Rattus norvegicus: one gene and its partners. The protein of the gene in region 4 interacts with the protein of the main gene of each other region in a pairwise test. Links are inferred from orthologs where the notes say so. Each region holds a gene or a part of one and is shown on either strand. Other genes may lie near its edges. The genes, in order: Ccnc, Cstpp1, Prkaa1, Pnma5, Rad23b and Zmynd19.

Region 1 (4,208 bases), on a different chromosome or scaffold from region 4:
GAGGGACTCTCAGTCCAATCTCTGGGCTGGAGAGTTAAGGACAGGAGTCAGGGCACACCAGCCAGGATGATCCCAAAACTGAGGCTGAAATTCTCACCTAGTCTAGGCTTGCCGGAAACAATGTAGCTGTACTGGCTGGTTTTGTGTGTCAACTTGACACAAGCTGAAGTTATCACAGAGAAAGGAGCCTCCCTTGAGGAAATGCCTCCATGAGATCCACCTGTAAGGCATTTTCTCAATTAGTGATCAAGGGGTGGGGGAGGACCCAGCCCCTTGTAGAACCCTGGCTGATAGTCTTGGGTTCTATGAAAGAGCAAGCTGAGCAAACCAGGGGAAGCAAGCCCGTAAATAGCGTCCCTCTATGGCCTCTGCATCAACTCCTGCTTCCTGACCTGCTTGAGTTCCAGTCCCGACTTTCTTTGGTGATGAACAGCAATGTGGAAAGTATAAGCTGAATAAACCCTTTCCTCCCCAACTTGCTTTTTGGTCATGATGTTTTATGCAGGAACAGAAACACTGACTAAGATAGTAGCTGAGGGTGTGAATACTCTTACCTTGCAGGTGTATATAGTGCTGAGTATCACCCAGAGCTTCTGGGGCACTTTACCGATTGTGCTTTACCCCTTCCCCCTCATCCCATAGACAGGGTCTCAGCAGGAAGCAAGGACTGGCCGGAAACTCATAATGTTCCAGTCTCAGCCACCAAAGTACAGTACTAAATGCAATGTTACAATGATAACAGAAACATTTAAGTATTATTTCATTTTATAAAATCAAATTATTGCATTTCTGCAGCATATCAATTTGCTGAGCGTAAGTGTAGCTAGATTATGTTCATATGCTCATGTTTTTAGATATACAAGTAGCAGGCTCTAACATAAAAAAGATTGCTACTCTAAAAAGGCTACACTTGTCACACTAAAATTCGCTAACTCGTTAGACTTAACACCAACAAGAACTTCACTAAGAGTACTTAGATCTTAAAGCCAAAATGCCTTTCATTTATTTCTTCTTTCAATCCTAGGAAAAGAGCAGTTATATAATGCCATGCTTTCTTTCAACGCCGGTGTGCTATTTTGGAAGGCCTTCAAGGTGGATTAACAAGATCCCTAAATGGACCCAAAAGAAAACCGCACTAAACCAGAAAACCATACTGAGGATGCTCTAGAAATTAACTAGCAGGAAACCTCCTCAGAGCCTCTCACCACCACGAGCCTCTGTCCGTGTTTACTCAACTTCCGGGGACCCGCCTCAACACGCCCATTGGCAGTCTGGTGTTTGCTTGCTTCCTCCGCTACTAGGGCGGGCCGGAACTTTTGTCGGCCGGAACCGGTGTATGCTGCTCAGTGTTGTCGGCCGGCGTCAAGGCGACGGTGTTGTTCTCTTCCTCTGACTGCGGTTGCTGTTCAGTTCAATCCAGCCGGTCTGGTTGAGTAACACAGTCCAGGGACTGTGTCTATGGTTGCTCCGCGGGCCGCTTTGCCGGCTGGTGCTTTTGTATCAGGGCAAGCAGTATTCCATGGCAGGGAACTTCTGGCAGAGCTCCCACTAGTAAGTGAGCTTCCATTTTCTCGCGTGGGACCGGGTCTGGGGCACGGGAGGATTGGGCCTGCTATTCCCTCGGGACTTCCATCCTGGCTGCTGGGGGTGAGTCCCCACCCCCACCTCCCCCGTAGAAGCCGGGGGTCCGAAAAGCAGCACCATTTTGCGGATTTCCCCTCTTCGCCCAGCGGGATTTCGGGGGCTGAGGGGAAGTGAACTCGAAGGATAGGTAAGGGGTCCGGTCTCCGGGAAGGGAGACAGAGGCGGTTTCATTTAAAATTTGGGGGTTTGGTTGGTGGGATGATGTGGGCAAGGGGAAGTGACCCATTGTAGCTCTGTGAGATCGCCTGTTTCGGACAGACATGGTTTGCTTTATTTACTTAGAGGAGAGGAGTGAGTCGTGCTTGTTTCTACCTTCTGCTTCGTGGCTCAGTTTTATGCCTAGATTGGTTAGACGCGCGCGCGCGCGCGCACACACACACACACACACACACACACACACACACACACACCCTCACCTTTATCCCCCCACCCTCACCTTTATCCGCCACCCCCGGAGGCAGGGTTTCCCTGGGTTAAGCGGTGGCTGTTCTAGAACTCACGCTATAAGCCAGGTTGGACTCGAGTTTACTGAGACCCGCCTGCCTCTGCCTCTGAGTGCTGTAATTAAAGATATGAGCCACTTACTGGCTCCTAGGTTGACTTTTATGCCCCTAGAATTTGAGAGCACAGGGGCTCTTAAAATATATCTATTTCTTTTTTTTTTTTTTTTCCGGAGCTGAGGACCGAACCCAGGGCCGTGCGCTTGCTAGGCAAGCAGTCTACCACTGAGCTAAATCCCCAACCCCGAATATATCTATTTTCATTCATTAGCCGGTGTCTTATATTTTGCTTTAAAGGTGTGTATTTTCCAGATTTTTGTCCTCTTCCTTTAACCATTTAAATGACTAAATTTTAGTGTCTTTCGGTGACCATATGACCATAGAAGGGCTAAAGTAATGTTAAAGACATTTGTCTCTAAATACATTTGGTTAAACATACAGGACCCGTTGTGCGATTGGGCTAAGCATTGAGCAGGCTTTCCATTAAGTACATTAAAAACTGAGCAGGATTGAATTTTAGTCTGAAGACAACAACAAATTCTATGAATTGGGTTGGATGTTTTTTCCTCTTTGCCTGAGAACAAAGAAGAAGGAGAAAAGGAGAAGGAGAAGGAGGAGAAGAAGAAAGGAAACTGAATTTGGAGACTTGTTTCTGGAAAGCATGTCTTCTCTTGCTACAAAGTGTTTCTGGGATGATGAAATGCTAGTGAAGGGTTACTGTGGGATTTTACTCACTGAGGTGTTTCAGTTAAAAAAAAAAATGAAATACAGAAGGGGATGACCCAAAAAGGTGGTATTAAGCTTGGACCTGTACTTAATCTTGGTACTCAGATAATGCCTTGATTGTCTGCCTCAGTGATGTAATCCTAAAACAGGCAGTAGCAAGTCTTTGCATATAGCAAGAGTTTATCTTTGAGAATGGGCCTTATTCTAGAGGGTCTGAGAACCTGTGTGCTGGTGCTTTGTCCACAGGACACTATGAAGGAAATGGAGAAAAAGAGGTAGAGAATCTTTGAAACCATCAAGAGTTTCTTTAGCTTCAAGTTTCCCTGTTTCTTCATCAAATGGTCTTGCTGAGGCTGCCAGTGAACTGCTGAAAAGCTAGAGAAATCTGATGAATAACTTACCTGAGAGTTTAGAATGGCATCCACAGCATCCTTGTTTATTGACCAGACAGAATGGGAATCAAACTGATTGGCATAGAATTATTTGAAGATAGTCAGCAAAGCAGTCACAAATAGCATCCAAAAACCAAAGGGATTCCATTGGTCCAACAAAACTGAGAAACATTGGGGTGATAGTGAAAACACTGATTGGAAAAGATTAAATTAGAAAAATGTAAAATTTGCTCCAAGGCTGAATTTACTTGAAATGGGTGAGCATGTATTGAAGAACTCAAGTATTTCATTGTTGAACATAATTTACTCAGTATTTTAGAGACCCGTTTTGAAGAGTTAATTAAGTTTCAGAAGTAGACTGGCGCTCTGTCTAGCCAGACACTGTCCTTTATCAATGTTCTAAAGATATACCCAAAACAAAAAAAGCTGGATGCAGTGCTGCATGAAGCTTGGTGGTGATGGGATCTCTGCCAGACTGAGGCTAGTCGGCTCTACAGAAGGAGTTCCAGGATAACCAGGGCTAAACAGAAAGAAAGAGAGGGGGGAGAAGGGAAGGAGGGAAGGAAAAGAGATATACCACTTAGAATATGACCAGCTTATTAAATCTTAGTGTTTTAGGTGCTTTTGATTGTTGGCCTTTTAAAATTAGTTTATTCACTTTACATCCCAATATCAGCCCTCTCTTCTCCCAGTACCCCAGCTCAAGCAACCCCCCCCACCTCCACTTGTTGGCTTTTTATACCACTTTTTGACATCTTTACTTTTTCTAGTTTGCAGTGGATTTTGGATAAACAAGATCTGTTGAAAGAGCGCCAGAAGGACCTAAAGTTTCTCTCAGAAGAGGAGTATTGGAAATTACAAATATTTTTTACAAATGGTAAACTTTTACATTGGTTGAAGTAGTATAGTATAGCTGGTCACTATTTTGTATGGTAATTTCAATGAA
Region 2 (4,102 bases), on a different chromosome or scaffold from region 4:
AGTGGAGTTGGGGATTTAGCTCAGTGCCTAGCAAGCGCAAGACCCTGGGTTCGGTCCCCAGCTCCGGAAAAAAAAAAAAAAGAAAAAAAAAAAAGAAAAGGGAGGAGCAAGTGGCTTTTCCTGTTAGGTTTGGGTGGTGACAATGCTACAGACCTCTTTCCTGTTCTTGCACAAAGGGAGGAGCAAAAAGAAGTATCCAGTTATTTGAAAAGAAAGGAATAGTCTTCCTTCTTCAAAAAGGGCACAGCTGAGGATATGTAATAAATGTTCACGTTCTGATTTATTTCCTTTGAGAAGAGAAGTGTCTCTGTAGGCAAAAGGAAAGCCGCTTGGACAAGATGTCAAATAATACAGTATAGGAGCAGAAGCAGATTCTAATGGCTAAAAGGAATTTGAGAGGAATGGTAATTAACTTACAGAGGACTTTAGTTTTTAAAATTATATTTTACTGGGTGTAGGGGCACACACCTTTAAAACAGTAAAAACTCTGGGATCTGCAGGGGTATATCTCTTAAATTCAAGGCCAGCCTGGTCTACAATCAAGTTCCAAGCCCTCCTGGGCAATACAGCAAGACCCTGTCGAGATATATATTTAGGGCAGGGACATGTGGAGGTCAGAGGACAACTTGCAGGAGTTGATATTCTGTTTTCACAATATGGGGTCCCTTGGATTGTACTCAGTGGCCTTTAGTGAGTACCTCTATGTGTCTAACTAACCCTGTTAGAGGCTAAAGACATGTCCCTGATCTCAAGAAGCTTCCAAGATACAAAGAACATTTTGTACAAACTTTGTACAAAATTAATAATAGATAATGAGATCTCAGTGTTATGTGAGGTCATACATGATAATTATTATTAGGATAGATAGAAACTATGACTCCAGAAATTGCGGATATGAGCCGCTGGTAGTAATTCTTCCGCATCACAAAATATGACATATTCAGAGGATTCACTTCACAGCTTCTAAAACCAAGTCCCAAAAATAGTAGGGGGGAGGGGATGGGGGCTTATGGAAAGGAAACCGGGAAAGGGAATAACATTTGAAATGTAAATAAAGAAATATATCTAAAAAATTTTTCTAAAAAATTTTTTTAGAAAAAAAATAGTAGTTAAAGAAAAACACTCAAGTGACTGCTTCCGGAACTTATGTGATAGGCTCCACGTTGCCAGTCGGAGACTGTTTACGTGACACCCTTTCAGCCTTCTAGTTCTCTGGCCGCATGGTGCCATGGCAACAGAGACAGGCTGTAACCTGGGTTCCGGAAGAAGAAAGCTGGAGCGTGGAAACTACCCGGTCAAAGGATGCTGAGTCCCGAGCGCCTAGCTCTACCGGACTACGAGTATCTGGGTAGGGGCCTTCTTTCAGCTTCGGGAAATGAGTGATGAGTTAGGGGAAGGAGTGGGGAGGAGACAGGGGCGGAGCCTGAATGGTAGCGGGTCTGGATGGGACCGGAGGGACAGAAAGAAGGGGTCCTAGGGCCTGAGCCTGTAATGAATGTAGGACCAAATCGGGATGAAAAATAACATTTATGGAGTAAAGAATGGCTGAATTATATGGACTGGCACTCAGTCAATGAGAATTGCATTCTAAATAACACAATTAAGAATCTGAGGCCTTAAATGAGGCTATTATATTATTGAAGCAAACTTGGCATCTGAAGTGACATCAATCATTTTGTGAATAATAATTTTGCCTTCATAGTGTGCTGTTATTTCAAGCTATTCTTTTTCATTAGGCATTTTGCACGCGATAAGCATTTTGCATGCAGCATTCTTTCTTGGAAGGGACTGCTGTGTTTTCTACTTGACAGATGGAGAAACTAAGGCTAAAGAAACAACTTGCATAAGACCATACGGTTAGATAGTATTAGGATCAGATTTCCCCACTGAAGAACTCGACCTTGCTCTTGAACTAAGGCTATGTGGTAGTAAGGACTGTACTTTGTAAGCTCCCTGCAGTGAGCATGTGAGGCCTTTACTGCACACATTTGTGGATACACTTATATGCACACATACACACTTAAAAGTTCACAGACTTAAACATTTAGAGGAATTTTAAACTTATAGAAGACTGAGCTGATAACAGTTCTTTTTTTTTTTTTTTTACCCCTCTATATCTTCTATCTAGCTTCTATTATTAATTTCTTGTGTTAGTCTGGTACATTTCTTGCAACTGAATATTAGCTCAGTGTGATTACCAACAGCTTATGGTTTACATTAGGGTTCACTCTTTGTGTTGTGTTTTCTGGACTTAGACAAATTCATATTCTCATATATTCCCATTCAGATGTAAAACAATTGTTTCCTTGTCCTAAAAATCCTCTATGCTTCACCCATTCATTCACCCTTTCCGTTTCACTACTGATCTTACTGACTTTTAAAGTTTTGCCTCTTTGAGAATAGTGGGAGCCATTCCGTGTATAAGCTCTTCAGATGGGCTTGTTTCAGTGGGTGTTCAGGTTCCTCCTTGTTGTTTTGTGACTTGATAACTCATTTCTTTACATGGATGAATAACATCTCATTATATGAATGTAGCATACACATTTTTAAAAATAAACTACAACTCTGGATAAATGTTTTATATTTTGAGAATTGATCTCTCTATGTAGCCTTGGTTGGTCTTGAACTCACAGAGATCCTCCTGCCTCTGTCTACCCAGTGCTGGAATCAAAGGAATGAATTACCAGCACCTGGCAGATGGTTAAATTTTCTTAATCATACGAAAAGTTGAGCCAAAATTACTTTTTAAATATAAAGACATTTATCTTGGGGGATGAGAGAGATAGCTTAGCAGTTAAGAGCTCTTGTTACTTTTCCTGTTTACCTGAGTTTGAACTGTGGCACCCACAGCATGCAGCTTAAAGTTTCTGTAACTCTGGGGAACCCAAGGGCTTCTTTTGACCTCTGCATGTGTGTGCATACACACACAGAAGACATGTATATAGAACAAAAGTAGAAATAAAAAGGTAGCAATTTATAGTAAAAAAGATGCTCCCCTCTTTCCCCACCAAGTCTGGCATATTCCACAGAGGTAACTACTATTGCTGGTTTTGTGTACATCCTTCCGGAGTTTATTTTGTACATAAAGGAACATATAGTGCACAGTTTTGTTTGTCTTCATTTAATGTATATCAAGAATAGGGAGCTTTGTCTTTTCTTTTGTTTTATGTTTTTGTTTTTGCTTCTTTGTCTTTTCAGACAGTATTGTAGACTTCAGTCACACCATGTAACTGAAGTTGCTCTGGAATTTCCAATCCTCTTGGTTGCCTTTGCCCCAGGTAGAAACCTCTCAAGTTGTGGGATGGCAGGTGTTACGCCGCCACCCCTAAACTGTCATTTCTTTTAAACCTCACTTTTAGCTACTTAAGTAATTAGTACTTAAAGAGTTTATTTAACCAAGTCCATGTTGATAGATAGTGAATTATTTTTTAACTTTTTATGGTCACTAACTATGCCTCAGTGAATAACCTGCAATTCTGTTCCTTTGCATGCATGCATTTCTACAAGGATAAATTTCACAAAGTGAAGGGCATCGTATTTAACATCGAAACATATGCCACATAGTCTTTCACAGGAGTTTTTGTTTGTTTTCTCTTTGGAGACAGGGTTTCTCTGTGCAGCTCTGGCTCTCCTAGATCTTGCACTGTAGACCCGACTGGCCTTGAAATCACAGAGATCCAACCTGCCTCTGCCTCCCATGTGCCGGGATCAAAGGAATACAGCCCCCATCACCTGGCCACAAAGGTTTCTATCATTTAAATCTGACAGCAGCAATATAAGAAAATGCTTGTTTCTGCGCAATTTTGTAACAAAATAGACCACATTTAAAATTTCTTTAAAAATCTGTTAAGTAACAGCTTAGAGAGTATACTTTATTTGCATTTTTTATTGACAATTTTAAAAAAAGAATTATTTATGTATATGAATACACTGTTACTCTCTTCAGACAGAAGAGGGCATCAGATCCCGTTACAGGTGGTTGTGAGCCACCATGTGGTTGCTTGGAATTGAACTCAGGACCTCTGGAAGAGCAGCCAGTGCTCTTAACTGCTGAGCCATCTCTCCAGCCCCCAAGCAAAGAAATCTTTAGAAAATCAAGCTC
Region 3 (2,588 bases), on a different chromosome or scaffold from region 4:
AGGTTGTAAACCCCTATTATTTGCGTGTGCGAAGGAAGAACCCTGTGACAAGCACATTTTCCAAAATGAGTCTACAGCTATACCAAGTGGATAGTAGGACTTACTTATTGGATTTCCGAAGTATTGATGGTATGTACACGTAAAACCATGGAGGTGATGTGTTTGGCCTGGTTACCTAATTTGGTTTATAGTCTTTGTTTTTTGTTTTTGTTTTTGTTTTTTTAATAAAAACTAAGCATGCAAAGTAGTAAGCTTCACTACGGCACTTTCTTCTCTTCCTCTCTTTCTATCTTTAGTCTCTCCCTCCCTTTGTTTGTATCTTGGAGGGGCTACAGAGGTCAATGTCAGGTGTCTCCCTTCTTCACCTTCCTTCTCACTTTGGAGACAAGGTCTCTCTGCAAACAGGAGGTTGCCCTTTAGGATACACTTACTGGCCAGCAAGCTCCAGGGTTCCTTTCATTTCCGACTTCCGGTGTTGACATTATGGGTATGCCCTTACTGGTCTGATGTTGACATGGGTCTGGGGATCAGCATCAGGCAGGGTCTGTATGCTGTGCGGCAGTCTCTCTATCTACTGAGCCTTCTCCCCGGCCCCCAGTCTGCACTATCATACCTGTCCTCTGTCCTCACCGCCCTAATTCAGCAGGAAATGTGACTTCCTATGTCCTGCAAGAGGGATATTTGTGAAACTTGTCATTCCTGCTCCATGTAGTATATGCTTTATAGATTATTATCTTGGGGCAAGGGATTTAGTTCAGTACTGAAGTTCTTGCCTCACTGGCTTCAGTCACCATCACCATTTTCCCCAAGGTAGAAAATGACTATTGTTCTGTAAAATCTTTAAAAGTATATAGGTTTGTTTTTCTCTTCTGCTCTAAGTGACATTTGAGAGAGTGCAGGGTAAGAGCACTGACCTGAGTAGGAAGGGTGAAGCGCTTGAGTGGCGGGAGCCTGAGTTGTGGGAGCTCACTGCCCACTTGGCTACTTGGGCAAACCCCTCGTTTCCCAGGCTGCTTTATTTCAGGAAAACGATTCCTGGGTGAGATTAAGTTCCAAGACACCTTCCATATTGCAAGTGATCGATTTTGTATCTTTTGTTTTGTTTTGCTTTTTAGACAGGGTTTCTTTGTATAGTCCTGGCTGTCCTGGAACTTACTCCATAGACCAGGCTGGCCTCCAACCCACAGAGTTACCTCTGCCTCCTGAGCAATGGGATTAAAGGCATGCTTGCCACTGTCCAGTGAGTCTGTGAGATATTTATTAGAACCCGTGTTATTAGTTTACTGGTTCTTAGTCAGTGTCAAAGTCAAGAGCACTCTATGATACACCCTGTGTTGACCGGCCATTGCTTGGAGAGCTGGTTAGTAGTCTCACTCAGGTGCTGATTAAACACTTGAGGGAGAAACATAATAAAATGTTGAAATTCTTTTCACCCAGATGAGATTACAGAAGCCAAATCAGGGACTGCTACTCCACAGAGATCGGGATCCATCAGCAACTATCGATCTTGCCAAAGGAGCGACTCCGACGCCGAGGCTCAAGGAAAGCCCTCAGAAGTCTCTCTTACCTCATCCGTGACCTCCCTCGACTCCTCTCCTGTTGACGTAGCTCCAAGACCAGGAAGTCACACGATAGAATTTTTTGAAATGTGTGCAAATCTAATTAAAATTCTTGCACAGTAAACCTAAAACTTTGCTTATTTCTTTGATGCAATAAGCATGCTTACTAAATAATAGCCAAATACTTCCACTTACCGAGTTATATGTGTGTGTATATATAACTAAGGACTGGCCTTCTGCAATGCAGCTTGCACAGGGCCTGGAAAATGATCGATTGTTTAAGCCTAATGTGCAGAAAGGAATCAGGATCATTCTGTTAGCCCTTATTCAGTAGGCACACATCGCATAGTAACACACAGTGGACTATAGGCCTCAGGCTCACTCGATTTTTGGCCATTTGAATTTGCTGTAACAGGTCTCTGTTGACCATAAATTTACCATAAAGCCTTTACATATCAGTACATGTTGATGTGTTTTATATTAGCTTCATGAATTTATTGAGTGAGTTTGCCTAGAATCCCCACAGACCTTCCTAGATGATACAAGACCTAGGCGATGCTGTTTTCTGGGCTCCTTAACTTTCGAAATAGTTACTGTTTCCCATTTTGGGTAACATTATGAACTATTTCCATATTCCTCTTAAAATACTATTTTTATGTAGCAAGTCATTTCAGATAACAGTCTAATTTAAAATTTTTCTTTGGCTTGTAAGCCCCCAACCCACCAGAATTTATATGTTCAGACCCTCCGAGCCCTGAACTTGCTTTTACAGTTTCCCCCTTAAACGTTTTGTGTATGAAGTGCTGCTTTGGATCCAAGAGCCGAGTTGCTCACACTGTACCGAATCATGTTGCTTCTGTCAGTGCACAGACATGCTATCATGTCAGCCAGTATTGAATGTCATTTGATTGTGTATTTTTTTAAGTCAATCCAGCGCATAGAACGGACATTGTTTAAAAGCTCTGAATGCTGGGATTGGGTTTTTAACCCCTGATTTTATTCTGAACAATTTCTAAAGAAAGAAAAGTT
Region 4 (3,680 bases):
TCCTTGCAAGGAATTAAAAAAAAAAAAAAAAAAGTCTTACAAAGTAGCTTCCGCTGGCTTACTTTTCAAAACTGACAGATCAGCCTCAGCCTACTTCAAGTGCAGGGATTAAAGATGTGCTCAACCACACCCAGCAAAAGGGGCTGTCTTTAGATTCTTGAGCAGACTCAGAATTGCTACAGCCTGCATGGGCAGGGACATTCAGGACAGACCATATTAAATATTGCTCTGCCTTGCCTTGAACAGATCAGTGGGCAGGAACCAGCATTCCTGCACTGCCTGTCTGCATAGAGCCAGAAGACTGTGAGGATCAAGCACCAGTACCAGGAAAGTCATCATCTCAGCACTTCAGTAGGGTAGGTACTACACAGAAAACAGCGGGGTGAGCATCTATTTTGGGAGTAGCCTTTAACTGTAGCAAAGAGCTGGTTCAACGTGTTTCCTGCCAAGATTCACAGACCGCAGGGTAGGGCCATACCTGGGATGACAGTTGTCTGTTTACTTTCTGGGGTTATTTTTGCTTTTAATTCCAGATTCCATACTATGTAAACCCATACGCTTGATTTATCAGCCCTCCTCAGTCTCTGCCCTATCCTGCTGTCCATACCTGTGGCTAAGATGCTTTATTACTTGGAGGACCATGACAGCACCTGTTGTCCTTCAAAGGCCTTAATCTATTGTAGAAGCCCAGATTTACACTGTTCCTCTGTCCATGCCTACACTTTAGCTTGTCATATGTTCTTTGCACCCAGCACTGTGATCACATCTGCTGAGTTCCAGTCATCTTTCTTACCTGTTGAGCACTTCTTCAGGAGGAGGAGAGTTTTCTATGTGCTGCCAGTCTTGGACCTAATAAGGAATGGGCTAAATCCAATACAGCACTACGTGGGTGGCAGAGTGTTCTCCTGTTCTGTCCTCCACTGGGTCTTTTCCAGTACTCTCAGGTATGCTCTTTGCCTCCTGACATTGGCATTTTCCCTCCAGGTACTTGCAGAATATGGAGTAGCGTCCCTGGACTTTCAAGGAGGTTGCTGCAACTGGAGGTCAGCAGGGTTCAGTGAGGTTCCGGAAACTTTCTGTGATTGCACAAGACTGAATGTCTGGGAGGAGGAAAGGTGATGGGAATCATTAAGTACCACCTTAACTTCATTTGCATTTCAGGTTGTGGAAACCAGGACATCACTGCCTTTCTGTATGGCATTGGTTTAGAATCTTTGAGTGCTAGTGTTAGGTCTGCCCATAGAGGGAGGGAACAATGGCTGTAGCTCTATTAGATGACTGGTGTAAGGGGATGGATCTGGACCCCAGGAAGGCTGTACTCATTGTGGGCATCCCCGTACAGTGCACTGAAGCTGAGATAAAGGATGCTCTGAAAGAAGGCTTACCTCCTTTGTGTGCACACAAGGTGATAGGCAGAATGTTCAGGAGGGAAGATGAAGCTAAGGCAGTCTTAATTGAACTGACTGAAGTTGTCGATTATACTATGATGCCTACTCATATACCAGCAGAGGGTGGGGCCTGGGAAGTGGTTGTCAAACCCCGTAGCCCAGATGATGAGTTTATCAATAAGTTGATCTACTTTCTGAGAGATGAAGGGCGGAGAATGGTAGATGTGGCCAAAGCCCTGGGGTTTAGCACTGTCCCTACAGGGAGAATGGAGCTAAAGAATTTAGACCAAGACAAACCAAAAGGCTTGAAGTCTCTGTGCAGTAATGGCACATGTTACCAAAAACTAAAAGTGTTTTCTGGCAGTCCCTTTCCCGGCCCAGGAGAAGAAAGCTTTGAGACCTGGTTAGAGGAGGTCACTGAGCTGATGCACTTATGGCAGGTGTCTGAGAGTGAGAAGAAGCAGCGCCTTGTGGAGAGTCTGCGTGGCTCTGCCCTGTCAATCATGCAGGCACTGTGGGCTAGCAATGACTCCCTAACTGTGGAGCAGTGTTTGAAAGCCCTAAAGCACATCTTTGGGAATAAAGAGGACTGTAAGGTCTTCCAGTTCAGGTTCCTTCAATCTTCTCAGAAACCTGCAGAGAAGATATCTGATTACTTGCTACGCTTAGAGCCCCTGCTGCAAAAAGCAGTACAGCAGAGCCCATTGTCAACACACAGTGCAGATTCAATTCGTCTCAAGCATATCTTATCTAGGGTCTCCATGACCACTGGCCTTCGGGGCAAACTATCTCTCTTAGATCAGCAAGGGTGCCCACCTACTTTTCTGGAATTAATGAAACTCACTCGAGATGAGGAAGAGTGGGAGACCACTATGGTAGGGAAGGAGCAGAATCAGGCAGAAAAGGAAAACAGGACACGTGAGACAGCAGATCAAGTTGTTACCCAGGAGGAGTACTTTAGGGAGATCAGCACCCAGACCATAGGAGAGGAGATCACATCAGTGAAACGGAGGCGACTGCTATGGAGACAGAGTACTGGAGAAGAGGAACATATGAGGGAATCAGGTTTCTGGGCTGAAAATGAATCAGATGAGGAGAAACCCTTTGTTACAATACAGGAATCGGGAAACGAGAGAGGGGCTTGGGCTATGAGCCACCCCAACCCCAAGGAAATATAGGCTCAGGACATGCAGGAATTCCTTCCTCTGGCAGGCAACAGAGATACTGTGACAAAATCATGGGGCAGCCCAGGCAAAGAGCAGGGGACATGGGTGTTGCAGAAGAGCAGCGGGGCCAGGGTAAAGCCCCCAACTTCTTACTACTTAGAAATGATTACAACAAGCAAGGGCAAGTTCCATGCAGCTCAGTGACAACCAAATGCCAGGCCCACAGGGAGTGTCAGAGACAGAACTGGGGAGCTAATATGATAAGCAGACTACAGGGTCATCCAGACTGTAGTTGGCATACTAGTGGGTCACAAGATGGTGACGCTGGGTGCTCTGAGCTAAGGATGCCCACCAGCACTGAAGCAGCACAGGGCATAAAGGAGCCCGCCACGGGGTTGTCTTGGGCAGAGGACACCAGTGCCTGGGAGCAAGTACAGCTAGGGAGGGAGGGAGTACCCAGGAGAGGAGGCCGCAGGATCCAGCCTGTCTTCAGGATCATCTACACTGCTCTAGGGGAGCCCCATGAGGGCAGCACCCTTGAGTCCTTCCGTGAGTGAACTCCCCCCACCCCCGTGAAACCCCCAATCTCCAGACCCACCAAAGGATGGGGGGATGGGGGCTAGGCAGTGCCAACGCAGGGCAGTTTCCCTCTTGGCACCTGACAGGACACCAGTGCCTGAGAAGAGCCCCAGGCTGGGGCACATGGCACCATAGGGTTAATGCCCTCAGCTGGCCTGAGAGCCTGGGAGTGTGCAGGGCAGATTTTGTGCGAACAAACAGGAGATGGAAGAACATCAGGAGGAGGACTCTGTGTGTGTCGGGGTTGGGCTTGGGGGGGGGGGGGCGTAGTTTGTTCTTCTCCCTTTTGTCCAGGGCTGCTGGAGAATTCCAGAGAGCAAGCAGGGAGAGCCAGTGAATTCAACTCTGCCAAGGCTGGCCCCAAACCCTGCCGAGCTGAGGGGTGGTCTGGCGGCATTACCAGAGCGCCATCCTCCATCTGCCATCCATACCAAACGCGTGGACGTTCCAGAAGAGGCCATCTCGAGGGTTCTGCCTACTGCCTGGCTCTCCCAATACGGACGCCCCTTCCCCTTCCCATTACTGTCCAGAGGCTGTACCCCCTGCT
Region 5 (3,500 bases), on a different chromosome or scaffold from region 4:
CTTTTCTTTTCTTTTTTTTTTTTTTTTTTTTCCGGAGCTGGGGACCGAACCCAGGGCCTTGGGCTTGCTAGGCAAGCGCTCTACCGCTGAGCTAAATCCCCAACCCCAATCTTCCCCTTTCTTGTGTGTTGTGCTATTTCTCTGAAAGGTTTTGTTTGCTCACTTGGCCTGTTTTGTATATACGTATTTTGTTTTTACGATGTTGGAACAACTGCTTCATCACATGTTTGGTATTTCAGAATAAGAAGTTATTCATTCCTTCTTTCAGGAAAAAAAAACTTATTTCCCAAAGGGTGACTAGGCAATTGAAATGTTTACTTTGGGGCTGGAGAGATGATTCAGTGGCTAAGAGCACTGACTACTCTTCCAGAGGTTGAGTTTAATTCCCAGCAACTACATGGTGGCTCACAACCATCTGTAATGGGATCTGATGCCCTCTTTTGGTGTGTCTGAAGATAGCTACAGTGTATTTATACATAATAAATAAATAAATCTTTTTAACAAAGAAATGTTTAATTTCCTTTGTCTTTAATATCTCTTTTCAGGACTTCAAATTTCTTTGTCTAGTAAATCTTAGAGTTAGTTAATAAATTAAAAACAAATCAATTTGTGTTTTATATACTAGAGATGTTAGACATCTTGTAAGACACTTGTGCTTTTAAAGTAGTACACGTCTGTTTATATTTACCTCACGTGGTTGTTAAAGTTTTCTTTAGGAGTTTTACTTGGTAGAAATGGTTACCACTAAAAAGAGTAGTTTCTTTATAAGAAGAAGCTTGATATGTCTTTAACTTTTTTTCTCCCTGAATTATTAGGCAAAATCCTCAGTGATGATACTGCTCTCAAAGAATATAAAATTGATGAGAAAAACTTTGTGGTGGTTATGGTGACAAAGGTAAGTTTCGTGCTACTTATGTATTTTTATGCTTATAAATCATCTCAAAAGCGGTGACCAAGTCCACATGGACACACACAGTTCATGCATTTCTACACCCTGCACAGCATATGTAACAAAGAGCACGGTGTGCTTACCTGCTTTCCAAATGTAGGCAAGTTTCCCTCAGCCCCTTAGAAAAGTAACATTAGATATTTGTAGCCATAAAGTTGTGTTTATGTAAGATAAAACAAAGTATTATATTTTTAAAAGGGCATTTCTCCCTTGACACCCCTTAAGAGTTTCTTACTTTTCCTTTATCTGTGTTTACTGCTTAAAAAGAGGTGCCAGAATAGTTAAGTTACCATGTGATCATCTAAAAATAGCAATCAAATTAAATGTCTTTCTTTGTATAGCTTTTAATGTGTAGCCTTTCAGGTACTAGATAAGGTATGTGTTAGACCTAACAAGCTCAGGGCCAAAGAAAGAAAGAATGCAAGTTCAGTTTTCAATCAAGAGATAAGAGTTTTATAAAATAAAAAAGGAAAAGTCAACTAAAAAAATGGAATGATTTTTGGAGTAATTCTTTTTTTTTTTTTTTTTCCTGGAGCTGAGGACTGAACCCAGGGCTTTGCACTTGCTAGGCAAATGCTCTACCACTGAGCTAAGTCCCCAACCCTGGAGTAATTCTTAAGAATTGCTTTATGGTTTATGATATTGAACTACATTAAATATATTGGGTAATTTTTTGAAAATAAACTCTTTTCTAAAGTACAGCTTGAGAACTGAAGAAAAGCTAAGCCAGTAAAGTAAAGCTTACCTTACAAGCCTCCTAAGAACTGAGTTCTGTCTCTCCAGTACATCATTAAATGCATGCTCAGATCCACTGCTAGAAGCTCAGTACTGGGAGGCATACAGGGTCAGCCCTGGGGCTTACTGGCCTTCTAGTCTAGCCTACTTGGTGAGCTCTAGGCCAACGAGAGATTTTCTTTTAAAGATGGATGGCCCTTGAGAGTTGACATCTGGCCCTGCCTGCACACACTTACAGATCAGAACTTCAGCATTGATTCCTTAAAGAGACTGCTTTGTATATGTGCTTACAAATGGATAATCTGGGGAAGAGCAGTGTATTAGTCATCTTTGCTGTAATAAAATATCCAAGGTAAAAGTGTAAAGCAGAAAAGGGTTTATTATCAGGCCACAGTTGTGGAGACTGGAAGTCCGAACAGCATGGTGAAGACTGCACAAGGACACCTAGTAGCATGTTGTCATTGTGGTGATGCTTGGATTTCTATCAGTGTGTAGGGGTTGTTTGTTTGTTTTTTGGTCCTTATAAAGCCACTGGAATTATTTATGGAGTCTCTGCTGTAATGTAATCTAAAAGGCCCTACCTTTAATAGCACAGTCAGATGTAATTTCTGCCTTCCTCATACTGGTTTGTCATAAAACTTTAGGGTTTATGCCAGGTTTGGTGGTACATCATGTCATTAGTCCCAGCACTCACTGAAAACAACAACAAAGACTTTAGGGTTTAAATACCTGAGTTTGGGAGGGACCAAACATGGAAAGCACTCTTGGTAATAATGAAAGCAAGTTTAAGTGGATGGTCAAAGTTACTTTATCAAATTAGTCAGTGGTGGATTAAATGTGAGTTTCCTCCAAAGTCACAGAATAACAATAGCAGTGGGAAATAGTGAAATGGATAATAAAAATCTAGTATAGATAAAAACGGAATATTTTTCAGTTCTAAAGAAAACTGAAATCACAAAATTTTCATAAAAATAGACTTAGAATTAAGTTATGCTGAACTCAGTCTCAGAAAGGAAAAAAGGATGTTCTCCCTCATCAGTGCTAGTCTGTTCTGTATACGTTAGCTGTACACCTTAGCTCATGGAGACGTGTGAGTCCTTACCCGTGTTGCTTTACAGCAGGAGGTTTTCCTCCTAAAATACAGCAGATTGTTGGGCATGTTCATAGACAGTCTACTTCACACCCCAGAACTTACTTTGCGAATGCTTTTATGTGGCAATGTAATCTTTACAGGTACAGTTAAGGTGTATAAGTAAAGACTTCGATGGACTGTCTAATGCTAATTGCACTTGAGAGCTAAGATATTTAAATTTCCATAGGTACTTTGAAGAGTAGTGAATTGCTTTCATTTGCTAATGTTGATCTTTTATCATCCGCTTACAAAATGATGTTCAGTTTACTGGTTATTAGGCTGATTGTGTGGCTGTTGAAGTCCAGTGATACCTTATTTACTTTGTTGTTTGACACATCCAGCCCAAAGCAGTGACATCAGCAGTGCCAGCTACAACCCAGCAATCAAGTTCTCCCAGCACCACTACAGTCAGCTCCTCCCCTGCAGCAGCTGTGGCCCAGGCTCCAGCTCCCACCCCTGCTCTGGCTCCCACTTCCACACCTGCCTCCACGACTCCAGCCTCAACTACAGCATCTTCTGAACCTGCACCTACTGGTGCAACTCAGCCCGAGAAACCTGCAGAAAAGCCAGCACAGACACCAGTGCTTACTAGCCCAGCACCAGCTGACAGGTAAGGACTACGTTTAAGAATTACATCACAAGTAGCCATATTTTTAATTTTTAAGAAACAAGCTGACTACTATG
Region 6 (3,979 bases), on a different chromosome or scaffold from region 4:
TCCTCATACCCACTCATCAGCTTAAGGGTACTCAATAGGGTATGAGGTATGGCCAATCTCCTCTACAAGGGCAGCCTCTGGGATCTAACAGGTGTATCCTGGGTCTCCTTTCGTCTTTTTTTTTTTTTTTTTTTTTTTCCGGGGCTGGGGACCCAGGGCCTTGTGGTTGCTAGACAAGCGCCCTACCGCTGAGCCAAATCCCCAACCCCCTGGGTCTCCTTTCAAGTTATGTGGGATGTGTTGAATTACTATTTTGGAGGAATATGCAAGAACAAATTGTTTTATTACCAGGGAGCGCACTTTGCATCATCCTAAGCATTCCACCTCTTATTAAAAAGTTCTCTTATCCACAAGTCTGAAGAGGCTAACGGAACAGGTGCGGTTTGAGCAGAAAAGCACCTGGGAGTAATGTTAAGCACCAAGGGCTGAGAGGAGATCTAGCTTTACTCGACAATCCTTTGCTCCCGGTAATTCCAAACTGGAACAAAGAGAGGTAGAAACATTTGCAGATCCTCTGATGCCTGAGGTCACCTTGAAGCAGGTGGAGTCTAGCCCTGGGCTCGAACTCTAGGCCTTATCAGCTTTGTCAGGATTCCAGACTACCAGATCTCCCTTTTCCGGGGACAGATACCCGCCCTAGCCTCCCGCTCCTTCCCGAAGGTTTTATCCTTTCTAGGAGACCTAAGGCGCTTGGGTTCCAGGAAGCATCGAGTAGGTACTCGCCGCTGCCTCGCAGGATGATTCTGGAGACCTGGACGACCCATACAGCATCCTGCTAGCCGGTAACCACCAGGTAACGACAGACGTTCTACGCCGTGCACAACTTAGAGACCCGAACGCAAGCAGCTATTGTCAGGAAGAAGCCACGACCTACTGCGCTCACTCACGCGCCCCAGCCGCGGCCGCAGCGCGCACAAAGCTTCCCGCGAAATTGACGTTGCGCCGGCCGCCGCGCAGGCGCCGCCCCCGGCTCGCCCCTCCCCCGCACTTGGGTCTTTTTCATTGCGCCTGCGCCTGTTTCCTATTTTCATTGGTTATTTGGCCGCGGCGCGCCACGACCGGCGAAGGGCGCGTCTCGTGATTGGTCGGCCGCCGCCGGTGGGGGGTGTGTCCCGGGTGCGCCCCGCCCTCTGCTCCGCTCGCTGGGGTGCGCGCGGCGGTGGCGGCGGCGCGTGGCAGGTCCGGCGGGCGCGAGGCGGCGGCGGTGGCCCGATCCTGGCCCAGCCTCGTCCGCCCGTGGCCCGCCCGGCCTGACCCCGGCCCCGGCCTGACCCGGAGTGCCGCGGCCTCGCTACGGCCCGACCCGGTCCGGTCCGGAGCCTCCCGAGGGAGCGGCTCCGCCTGCCCAGAGCGCAGGCCCGGCCATGACCGACTTTAAATTGGGCATCGTGCGGCTCGGCCGGGTGGCCGGGAAGGTGAGCGGTGTGGAGCGGCGGCGAGGCCTGCGCGGGCTGGGGCACCAGGGCGAGCAGCTGCGCGGGCCTGCATGGTCCGGGCGCCGCCTTCCTCGCGGGAGTCTTCCCCGCGGCCGGGGGCGCGCCCCTCGGCCTCAGGACTCGTGTGGGACTGGCTGGTGCGGAACAGTTGCCGGGGTTCATCCTCTCCCTCCTCGGGCACCTGCGGCGGCTCCGGCGGCCGGGCTGCACCTGCGACCGCACGCTTTAAACGCGGCGGCCTCCCGCCGTGACGCTCTTGGCCCGAAGCTCTGAGGCGAGCGGAGCAGCCGGTCCGCGGTAGCCCTCGGCGGCGCGTTTTAACGTTGACCAAAGGTTGGCCACGTTCGGTCACTCGAGTCACAGGCTTTCCTAGAGCACAGACGAAGAGCCAGGGCCCTGATCTTGGTAGGCTTTAAGGCTCTCAGATGCTCCTCGCCTGGGCCACCACCCACCACATGTTGAAGCTGGGCTTCGTGTCATGGTGCTGTTCAGGAACTGTGGACCTTAAGTCTGTTCCTTCCACCAGTGGCGGCGGCTGCTAGTGGGAGAGAGGAGCAGACAGAAAGTAGAGGCAGGTAACTGAGATCCTAGAAAGAGCTTCCAGGAAAGTAAAAGCAACCTGTGTTGAGCTTAGGAAAGAACTACTGGAACTTTCTAACTGGGGAGGGGTGGGAGACTTTTACTCCGCAATTATTTGCAGGAGTTTGGGCCATTAAAGCTTTTATTAGGAATATTTGAGACCAGGTGAAGAAGGGCTATCCAGTTAGCACATGGAATAACTATCCATCTACTGAACAAACATCACTTGGAACCTGATGTTCTTAGCCCCGTTCCCTTCCTCTACTCCACTAGACATGTTTGAGTTTCCGGGTGCATTAAAAGCTCAGTGCCACTTGTTAGGGACCGTCTATCAGGTGTGGATGGGCTCTGAAGCCTAATTACCCACACTGGTACATGTGGTCATGTTTTGCTTTTAACATACTTGAAAGGATTTTTCTTTTCTTTTTTGAGGAAGAATCTCACTCTATGGTCCTGGTTGTTTAGGAACTCACAGGAGGGTTCTGTCTGCCAGTACTTTCGAGTGTTGGGATTAAAGGTGTGTACCACCATGCCCAGTTTGAACTGCACTTTGATTGCAGGCTGTGCCAAATGACTCTGAGCAAGGCCCCACTTAAGATGTGGTTTCTTTCTGTCTCATTGGACAGTATTACAGATTCCTGCTGCTGCAAGTTATGCTGTTACTGTTTCTTAGGTGGGTCTCAGATGTAATTTTTGAAACATGGTTTATTTGCAGACCAAATACACGCTGATAGATGAGCAGGACATACCACTGGTGGAGAGCTACTCCTTTGAGGTGAGCATTACTGTTTGGTGCCCAGGAGGAATGAGAAATGAATTTCCTTCCTTGTTCTGGGAGAACAAGAGGATACCACTGATATGATATTTAGCTCCAAAGCAGGTTGTGACAACCTGGACACTGCTGGCTAGTAGAGCCCATTGTGACCTCCTTTCCTGAATACTGGTCTTTGAAAACTCCCTGTTTTGTTGTGTTTATGGTTACATGTTTGTTAAACCAAGTGAGCACACACCTTTGCACCCTAACTAGGGAGACCATCTTGCCCTCACTGTTCTTGGTCAAGAACTACCACCTCTCTGGCTGGTGGCCTTTTGGCGAGTGGGGGATGGGGGTAAGGTTTTGTTCTCCCCAAGCCAGCTGTGAATACTCAAATCTCCTTGTCTCCGTTACCTGAGTTCTGAGATTACAGATGTGCACTATCACAGCCAACATGGGCTTTTTCCCCCTCAAGTGTTTTATTCCCTGAGTTTATTTATGTGTATTAATGTTGATCTGAGTATCTGCATGGGTCACAGACGGTTGTGAGCTACCAGGTGGCTGGCTGTAGGGAATCAAGCCCAGGGTCCTCTGAAAGAGCAGCCAATTCTCTTAACTGCTTAGCCATCTCTAGCTCCCCATCGTCTCTTCTGGCCTTTTTTGAGGATAGAAAAAATTTACTTCTTGGTGTCCACAGCATTTTGCAAGTTGTTGGTCAGGGTGTGCTCCCTGTACTTTTGGGGTCCTAGGAGCAGGATATCATCTGTACCTCTGGAGCTTTTCTGAGCTGGATTTGAAGTGTGCTGAGAGGTAAAGGCTTTCCAACAGATGCGCTCTGCTCTGTCCTCTGCCCAGGCTCGGATGGAAGTAGACGCTGATGGAAACGGTGCTAAGATATTTGCATATGCCTTTGACAAAAACCGGGGAAGGGGCTCGGGCAGGCTTCTGCATGAGCTGCTATGGTGAGTATTTTCCAACTGAGAAGTCTCCCCACCTAAGCCCCATGTGAGCTGTGATGTGCACAGTGTGCCTAAAGAGAGCATTCTACTCAGTGGGGTCAGACTCAACCTTATCTTCTCTGAGCCTGGGAGTTTATTTTGTGACCTTTGCCACTAACCCAAAGGGATGACTAATGTACATGTCACTTAAACAGCGAGTGGGACTCGAGACCTGTGGTCCTCTGGGGAGTCAGTCATAGGTTACATCCTTA

The links.
Region 1: the proteins of Pnma5 (region 4) and Ccnc interact in binary tests that used the Homo sapiens proteins (3 or more experiments, as listed by UniProt). The two-hybrid records come from large-scale screens. The link is inferred for Rattus norvegicus from reciprocal best matches to the Homo sapiens genes PNMA5 and CCNC.
Region 2: the proteins of Pnma5 (region 4) and Cstpp1 interact in binary tests that used the Homo sapiens proteins (3 or more experiments, as listed by UniProt). The two-hybrid records come from large-scale screens. The link is inferred for Rattus norvegicus from reciprocal best matches to the Homo sapiens genes PNMA5 and CSTPP1.
Region 3: the proteins of Pnma5 (region 4) and Prkaa1 interact in binary tests that used the Homo sapiens proteins (3 or more experiments, as listed by UniProt). The two-hybrid records come from large-scale screens. The link is inferred for Rattus norvegicus from reciprocal best matches to the Homo sapiens genes PNMA5 and PRKAA1.
Region 5: the proteins of Pnma5 (region 4) and Rad23b interact in binary tests that used the Homo sapiens proteins (3 or more experiments, as listed by UniProt). The two-hybrid records come from large-scale screens. The link is inferred for Rattus norvegicus from reciprocal best matches to the Homo sapiens genes PNMA5 and RAD23B.
Region 6: the proteins of Pnma5 (region 4) and Zmynd19 interact in binary tests that used the Homo sapiens proteins (3 or more experiments, as listed by UniProt). The two-hybrid records come from large-scale screens. The link is inferred for Rattus norvegicus from reciprocal best matches to the Homo sapiens genes PNMA5 and ZMYND19.

Annotation. Positions count from the first base shown.
Region 1 is NC_086023.1:40,062,275-40,066,482, forward strand, and holds the start of Ccnc (cyclin-C), read left to right. Parts: upstream 1-1,408; 5' UTR 1,409-1,519; coding exon 1,520-1,551; intron 1,552-4,032; coding exon 4,033-4,139; intron 4,140-4,208. UniProt on the Homo sapiens protein: Component of the Mediator complex, a coactivator involved in regulated gene transcription of nearly all RNA polymerase II-dependent genes.
Region 2 is NC_086021.1:97,869,163-97,873,264, reverse strand, and holds the start of Cstpp1 (centriolar satellite-associated tubulin polyglutamylase complex regulator 1), read left to right. Parts: upstream 1-1,302; coding exon 1,303-1,348; intron 1,349-4,102. UniProt on the Homo sapiens protein: Regulator of the tubulin polyglutamylase complex (TPGC) that controls cytoskeletal organization, nuclear shape, and cilium disassembly by balancing microtubule and actin assembly.
Region 3 is NC_086020.1:55,998,775-56,001,362, forward strand, and holds part of Prkaa1 (5'-AMP-activated protein kinase catalytic subunit alpha-1), read left to right. Parts: intron 1-2; coding exon 3-129; intron 130-1,437; coding exon 1,438-1,682; 3' UTR 1,683-2,588. UniProt on the Homo sapiens protein: Catalytic subunit of AMP-activated protein kinase (AMPK), an energy sensor protein kinase that plays a key role in regulating cellular energy metabolism.
Region 4 is NC_086039.1:155,922,631-155,926,310, reverse strand, and holds Pnma5 (paraneoplastic antigen-like protein 5), read left to right. Parts: upstream 1-1,255; coding exon 1,256-2,566; 3' UTR 2,567-3,180; downstream 3,181-3,680.
Region 5 is NC_086023.1:74,902,518-74,906,017, forward strand, and holds part of Rad23b (UV excision repair protein RAD23 homolog B), read left to right. Parts: intron 1-815; coding exon 816-895; intron 896-3,157; coding exon 3,158-3,426; intron 3,427-3,500. UniProt on the Homo sapiens protein: Multiubiquitin chain receptor involved in modulation of proteasomal degradation. Binds to polyubiquitin chains.
Region 6 is NC_086021.1:28,155,135-28,159,113, forward strand, and holds the start of Zmynd19 (zinc finger MYND domain-containing protein 19), read left to right. Parts: upstream 1-1,179; 5' UTR 1,180-1,364; coding exon 1,365-1,415; intron 1,416-1,517; exon of another isoform or gene 1,518-1,769; intron 1,770-1,877; exon of another isoform or gene 1,878-2,011; intron 2,012-2,730; coding exon 2,731-2,790; intron 2,791-3,624; coding exon 3,625-3,731; intron 3,732-3,979. UniProt on the Homo sapiens protein: May be involved as a regulatory molecule in GPR24/MCH-R1 signaling.